2 linked regions of the Saccharomyces cerevisiae S288C genome follow. The gene in region 1 interacts genetically with each later gene. Each region holds a gene or a part of one and is shown in the gene's direction. Other genes may lie near its edges.

The links. A genetic interaction does not mean that the proteins touch.
Region 2: mutations in YLR456W (region 1) and RHB1 together harm fitness less than expected from each alone (positive genetic interaction), as found in Saccharomyces cerevisiae (one large-scale study listed by BioGRID).

What each region holds. Positions count from the first base shown.
Region 1 is NC_001144.5:1,052,173-1,056,184, forward strand, and holds YLR456W (pyridoxal 5'-phosphate synthase), read left to right. Parts: upstream 1-2,897; coding exon 2,898-3,512; downstream 3,513-4,012. Other genes in the region: PDP3 (Pdp3p), read left to right, coding at 1,457-2,371; NBP1 (Nbp1p), read right to left, coding at 3,640-4,012.
Region 2 is NC_001135.5:166,071-170,334, reverse strand, and holds RHB1 (putative GTPase RHB1), read left to right. Parts: upstream 1-2,335; coding exon 2,336-2,965; downstream 2,966-4,264. Other genes in the region: nucleotide diphosphatase/phosphodiesterase NPP1, read left to right, coding at 3,996-4,264. UniProt on the Saccharomyces cerevisiae protein: Binds GTP and exhibits intrinsic GTPase activity. Involved in the regulation of arginine and lysine uptake. Acts through the CAN1 permease.

The sequences.
Region 1 (4,012 bases):
CGAAAACCATAACCTGTAGTATAAATATAAGACATCTCAAGCACTTGTTATTAATTAGGGAAATAGCTAACAGCATTTGAACGATAACTAAGGCAAACAATCCTCAGTAGTAATCGTTGGAAAAAAGATCTGAGAACTAGGTGAATTTTGTGATAATTGTTAAAATTCCATAGTTGATAAAGGCAATAACATTATGTATGCAGGATATGCTGAAGTTCTTCTCGAGGACATATGAATCCTCAAAGTGGAATCGGTAGTCCTGCACTATAATATTACAATTATTTTTCCTTTCGTTTTATATGCTTACTTATCCTATTACATTATCAATCTTTGCATTTCAGCTTCCATTAAGTCAGATGACTGTTTCTCAATCTTTATGTCGTCTTTTTATACCGCATATGATAATACACTTGTAACATGAACACTGGTCAATAGATGATGATAGGGTTTCGTTCCAACACCATCACGTTATCAATTCTTTCGTGTCAACTCCTCATTTACGTTATACTCTTTACATTGTGTATGGCAGTATACTAGTAGTGAGAATACTAGTCAATAGGTTATAATTGATTTTTATTTTAACAAGTAACATCTTCGGAAAAGCGACTACTATTCAACTAATAATCATCAATTTTTACTTCAAGAAAGCATAATAACGTCTGCATTTATGTGTGAGCAGGACTGAGCGATTCTGAGGGCACTTGTATTCACCAATTTGCAATAGCTGATCTTTACAATCTGCATGTTCCGATAACAAAAATAACTTGTAGGATAAATCCTCAGAGTTACATCGGTGTGTCAGGGAATGAACAGATAAAAGAAATAACGTCGCACTGTAAAGTGAGTAGCAGCAAAATTAAACTATTCGGACATTTTAAAACCCTATCAGTCGCCTTGGATGATAACCTTATTTCAACCACCTATCAATGAAAATGGCTTAAACTTCCCCAATTAAAAAACTCTGCAATAGCGTGTTGATTTCTTCCAGATTGATAGTTTGGTACAATACGGAAGAAACAAGGTCTCTCTCCATTTACATTACGGTAAGCTGTTCTTAATTGAACTTTGAAACATCCAATGGCGGGTAATAATTATAGTATTTTTCTTTTCTATTTTATTTATTTTTTTTTTTTTTTTTGATTTTCTAGAATAATCAATCAATGGTAAATAAACAAAAGTTGCTTCTGTTGTAAAAAATACATCAAAGGGGCTAAAATATCAATATACGTTTCGTTAAGTTCTGCAGAGAGATTTGGACATATCTATTTTTCTCTCAGATATTTGTTATTGCATATTGTGAGTTGACTACTGGTAAGCTTATATTGGAAGTTTCACAAGCATTCTTTTAGGACCTACAGTCGTTGCTCCTCCTGGCTTTTTTTCCCTTTTATTTTTTTCTGTTTTTACTTCCATTTCTTTTGTGATATTAGCTATCCCTGGTTTGGTCCGCAAGTTTATGACAAAAGATATTAGAACAGGCGATTTAGTGTTATGCAAAGTTGGCTCGTTTCCACCTTGGCCAGCTGTAGTATTTCCACAGCGTTTGCTGCGAAACGATGTATATAGAAAGAGAAAATCCAATTGTGTTGCTGTTTGTTTTTTCAACGATCCAACTTATTATTGGGAACAACCCAGTAGATTAAAGGAGCTAGATCAAGACAGCATTCACAATTTCATATTAGAACATAGTAAAAATGCAAACCAAAGGGAATTGGTCAATGCTTATAAGGAAGCAAAAAATTTTGATGATTTCAACGTATTTTTACAAGAAAAGTTTGAAGAAGAAAACAGGTTAAGTGATCTAAAAGCGTTTGAGAAAAGTGAAGGTTCTAAAATCGTTGCCGGAGAAGATCCCTTTGTAGGTCGAACAAAAGTAGTGAATAAAAGAAAAAAAAATTCAATATCCATCAAAGAAGATCCGGAAGATAACCAGAAATCAAATGAAGAAGAAAGCAAACCGAACATCAAACCGTCCAAAAAAAAGAGACCCACAGCTAATTCGGGAGGAAAATCAAACAGTGGCAATAAAAAGAAAGTTAAATTAGACTATTCCAGAAGAGTAGAAATTTCACAGTTATTTCGCCGCAGGATTCAAAGAAATCTAATCCAGAGAGAAACACCTCCTACTGAGCATGAGATCAAGGAAACTCATGAACTATTAAATAGAATATATGAGAATTCTGACACCAAACGGCCCTTTTTTGATTTGAAGGCCCTACGCGAAAGCAAATTACACAAGCTACTGAAAGCAATTGTTAATGATCCTGACTTAGGCGAATTTCACCCACTTTGTAAAGAAATTTTACTGTCCTGGGCAGACCTAATCACAGAACTGAAGAAAGAAAAGTTGCAAGCGCTACCTACGCCTTGATAATAATACTTATTGAATCAATTCAATATATCAACGTTTCAATATCCAATATTGTTTCATTTCATTTCATTTCAAATAAACAGTGTTTTACCGTTTGTTTTGTTTCCCTTCTTTTTTTCATCAAATGGTAATATTAAATTGATTTAATTATCCATCCATAAAAATTGTATTAATAAGTCATACACGTAATGTCACAACAAAATATCAGGCGTACTCTTGTGACGTACCAAAGCGCTTAGAAACGATAAAGGCCCGGGACAGAAATTTAAACGTCACAAGTGGGTGCAGCCCAGTTAACACTAATGTTAACGCACTTCTAGATACCTCATATATATAAATATTATCTAGAATTTCAAATTTGATATTCCTTTTCTATACTGAATAAACGATAAATACGAAGTTCAGAGTGCGAAAATTAGGGTTGCAGGCGTCTGATCTGAAAAACGTATAATTGATAGTGAAAATTATGCAACATTCTGCAAAGGAAAGTAAACCTTAAAAAAACAAATCTCTCAAGCCTTTAAAGATGAAACTCAATGAACAAATACCAAAAGACCTGTTACGCCTGATTAAAAGTTCCAAGTATGTTCATGTGGCGACATGCTCGTCAAATTGTATACCATCTGTTTCGTTGATGCATTACATATTTGTTTCATCCGCGGAAACTTTCCATAAACATGAGTATAGTATAGAAATAGATTGTAATGACTATATTATATTCACAGTGTTCGAGAAATCAGTAACCTTTCGTAATGTCATGAGCAACCCAAACGTTGCATTGCTATTTCACGATTGGATCACAGCTAAAAATTTAACTCTTCGAAAAAAAAGCGTCCATAGTAAAGATGATTTTTCATTTGTTGAGTCAGAGTCTACAAAATTTAACAACTTTTTACGAGATTTGAACCAAAGTGAATTGAATCAAGTGAGCGCTACTATCAATGGTATTGCTGATATTGTGAACCCTAATAGTGAAGAATCTACTTATTATAGGCGGTTGTTATTAACAGTCAATCCAGACGCAGATATTTTTATACTAGGAGAAGATACAGCCATAATAAAGGTAAATATACAAAAAATAAAAGTCTCTGACATGGAAAATAATACTTCTACATACGGCCAAACAGTACAACCAGTTTAACGGAAATATGATGAAAACTATGTGTACTCTAATTATTATATAAAGCATCTATAAAATGAATCATGAGGATTAGGCCGTGATCTTCGCGCTCCATATATGGAGAATACTTTTAATTTCACAGGAGAAATTAAGATAAATAACTTGAAAAGTCCACTGAGATTGGTGAAAGTGTTTCATCCTCTTTTTCAGTTTCCCTTGAACGATAGGGTGGAGTGGGACAGGCGGGAGATATGTTTTCCTGTAACGGCTGCATCTCTGGTATATTTCCATCCCGATTATATGTTTTCATGGGGCTGGAAGTGAATAATGAATTCGTTCTTCTTATTGGAGACGGGGAAAGATCAATTTTCAAGGGCTTAATCTCATCGTTTTCTCTAGCTAGATTAGACATGGTTCTCCTAGATTTGGTGTATGATGGATGAATGTTTGAAGAATCTAGTAAATCCTCCAAAATCCTGTACTTCTCATTTGAGTAATTCAATGCTTCTTGTAATGATTGT
Region 2 (4,264 bases), on another chromosome or scaffold:
TCTCAGAAGATTGTGAACTTGAGTGACCTGAGCAGGTGACTTAGGTGGAGGAGCAAGATAAAGCTAGCTCCGGTCGGAATTTTGCCTATACTTTTTTTTTCTCTTAGCTCGATTTATTTACCTTTATTTAACTTCTGCAGTTGGACAACGATAAATATAACTTGTACTTCTATTATGGGAGCTATCTTCTTAGCGTTTTAATATTTCTCTTAAATATGACACAAGTTGGTTTACCGTGCTGTGATTATTGCATGCTCTTTCGGTGTTAACGTTCAAGCAGCGTCAGTGAGAACTAAAATCATCCAATTTTGGTTAGAAATTGAGGACGAGATGACCTGACGCAGTTCTTCATTGGGAGATCAGTCGCGCGAGAAAGAGTCCAGAGACAAAGGAATTTAATATGGCTACAGCAAGATGTTCTGAAGGATGATCGTGATCTGTTCAGGTGAGAAATCGGTGAATGTTGTGATTATCGTTGGGTCCACTGTTTTTTAAAGGGTATAATATTTCGTATATACTAGACGTTCTACTCGAGGACATAGGAATCCTTAAAATGGAATCGGTATTTCTACATAATAATACTCCTACCTTCTGTTTCTTATGTTTCATTATCTTATTACATTATCAATCCCTGCATTTCGCTTCCATTAGGTTTGATGACTGTATCTCAATCTTTATGTCATCTTCTTACACCTCATGTGATAAAATGCTAGTAGCATGAATACTTCTGAATGGATGGTATTTTAGAGTTTTATTCCAACACTAATATTATAACCTTTACCGAGAATAGTGAGAAATGTGTGGGTAATTAGATAATTGTTGGGATTCCATTGTTGATAAAGGCTATAATATTAGGTATACAGAATATACTAGAAGTTCTCCTCGAGGATATAGGAATCCTCAAAATGGAATCTATATTTCTACATACTAATATTACGATTATTCCTCATTCCGTTTTATATGTTTATATTCATTGATCCTATTACATTATCAATCCTTGCGTTTCAGCTTCCTCTAACATCGATGACAGCTTCTCATAACTTATGTCATCATCTTAACACCGTATATGATAATATATTGATAATATAACTATTAGTTGATAGACGATAGTGGATTTTTATTCCAACAAATAGATTTCTAACCATTCAAATTATTCACCCATTTAAATTGCATTTTTGGTTTGCGGCAACCAAAACGTAATCTAAAAGATGTCTCAATATTCAGTATTTTTATATTGATATGTCGGTATCTAGAATGTAGATATTATGTTGTATTACGGGCTCGAGTAATACCGGAGTGTCTTGACAATCCTAATATAAACAGTCTTAGGGAAGTAACCAGTTGTCAAAACAGTTTATCAGATTAATTCACGGAATGTTACTTATCTTATATATTATATAATGTTGGAATAAAAATCAACTATCATCTACTAACTAGTATTTACGTTACTAGTATATTATCATATACGGTGTTAGAAGATGACGCAAATGATGAGAAATAGTCATCTAAATTAGTGGAAGCTGAAACGCAAGGATTGATAATGTAATAGGATCAATGAATATTAACATATAAAACGATGATAATAATATTTATAGAATTGTGTAGAATTGCAGATTCCCTTTTATGGATTCCTAAATCCTCGAGGAGAACTTCTAGTATATTCTGTATACCTAATATTATAGCCTTTATCAACAATGGAATCCCAACAATTATCTCAACATTCACCCATTTCTCATATAAAATATGAATCATACTAAGTGGTGGAAGCGCGGAATCTCGGATCTAAACTAATTGTTCAGGCATTTATACTTTTGGGTAGTTCAGCTAGGGAAGGCCGGGTTTTATCTCATGTTGTTCGTTTTGTTATAAGGTTGTTTCATATGTGTTTTATGAACGTTTAGGATGACGTATTGTCATACTGACATACCTCATTTTGAGATACAAAATATTACAAGAAGTCCTGGTCCTATAGTGTAGTGGTTATCACTTTCGGTTTTGATCCGGACAACCCCGGTTCGAATCCGGGTAGGACCTTTTTTTGAATACAGATTTATTTTTTTGATTTTTCACTATCTTCAGATACAGAAGAACGCTACTGGTGGTTTCTCTATAAGTATTAACAAGACGCTTCTGCCAGGTTTAATATCTAACAATTTCTACAGCAGTTACACGAATTATTACTAGTTATATTTCCAGTGAAATTATTGAACTTGCCTCCATTTTCATTGACGCATATTGATATTTTCATATTCATTCTTTTGGGCTGGTTCGAATTGTCTCTTTACCGAAACAGTTTTATTGGGGCACGGCGAGAAAAGATATAACCTGTGACATAATGGAATACGCCACTATGTCTTCTTCGAACTCCACACATAACTTTCAGAGAAAGATTGCTCTTATAGGAGCTAGAAATGTCGGCAAAACCACATTAACGGTTCGCTTCGTAGAATCGCGGTTCGTTGAATCCTATTATCCCACTATTGAAAATGAATTTACCAGGATAATTCCTTATAAAAGTCATGACTGTACTCTGGAAATTCTAGATACTGCAGGCCAAGATGAAGTTTCTCTATTAAACATTAAATCGTTGACGGGCGTACGAGGCATAATACTGTGCTATAGTATAATAAATCGTGCTAGCTTTGATCTTATTCCCATTCTCTGGGACAAGCTGGTAGATCAGCTGGGTAAGGATAACCTCCCGGTAATACTTGTGGGTACCAAAGCTGATTTGGGAAGGAGTACAAAAGGTGTAAAAAGGTGTGTCACGAAAGCTGAAGGAGAGAAACTAGCTTCGACAATTGGCAGTCAAGATAAGAGGAACCAGGCAGCATTTATAGAATGCAGTGCCGAGTTAGATTATAATGTTGAAGAAACTTTTATGCTCCTTTTGAAACAAATGGAACGTGTCGAAGGAACTCTGGGGCTTGATGCCGAAAATAATAATAAATGTTCTATAATGTGAAAACTCGAGCGTCCCTAGGATATCATTGGTTTTATTAGTAGGAAAGCGGTCAGTACAATTTGTATAATAATACCACATCTTTCTCATACCTGTTACGGTGTGCTGCATTTATAGTAAGAGGTTGAATATTGATAAAACCTTTCAATGGCTTGGACGCCTCGTTTAACAAGCAAGAATATTTTAATTATGGGGTTTTTGCTAGTTTTCAAGATGCGTTAGCAAACCTAAGTACCATTAAAAATTTCATGTTTAGAATGCTCCTACATGTGTTAACTTTTAGTGCATTTTTTCAAAGTAATTTGCCGTTGATGTTAAAGACATGAAGTAACTGTCTTTTAAAACTAAGGACAATTGACTTTCTTAATCTTTTTGTACCTAAGATGGAAGATTCAGATAGGACATCCAGTAGCAACCAGTAAATGTACTAACTAATATTTCATCCTTTCTTTGACTGGGACGAAGTCGGATCACACTATGTACTTTATCAGCACATCGCAATATTTTTGGACAGCACTAAAATTGTGAATACCAAAAGATCAGAACCAAACAGCGAGTGTAAATAAATTTTCTTGTATTTTTCTTTTAGCTCTGCTTCAATTAATTATTTACATTTACGAATAAATTTGTATATATTCTCCCTCGGTAAGTACCACCTTTTTTTTTACTTTTTGCTCTAAGAGTTACGATTATATATACATAACATAAATAATGGAATAAAACATCACCTGGAAGCTAAGAATATATTAAGTGACAATTATACCAGGGGTTGGACTAGTCAAACAATCAGGTGAATTGTGAACACAATACGACATTTTCTCTTATTAATTTTGGATACCTATCTCACAAAATATCATAACGAGACAAGATATCTGCGTACGATGCTAAAAATGAAAAAAAAGAAAAGACATGAAGTTATAAAAAAACATTGGTACGATATGCAAACTGCCTAACAAACCACAAATAAGCAAAATAAGTGAGGCGAGGTAATTACATATATCTGAAAAGAGGTACAGTATAACACTCTCTATAGATGGAACTTCAGAATGATTTAGAGTCGCTCGATAACGAGCTGAATGATTTTAGTGAAGATCCATTTCGTGATGATTTCATAACGGATGAAGATGCTGTAAGATCGGGGTGGCGATCTGCGTGGACCAGGATGAAATATTGGTTTTATAAGAATAGACTGAAGTGGACAAACAATCCCATAGTGATTGGCGACGCGAAAGATAGTAGGGATGGTTCTAACTTTAGAAGGGGTATACCGCTATATGAATTAGACGCGAATGGTCAACCCAT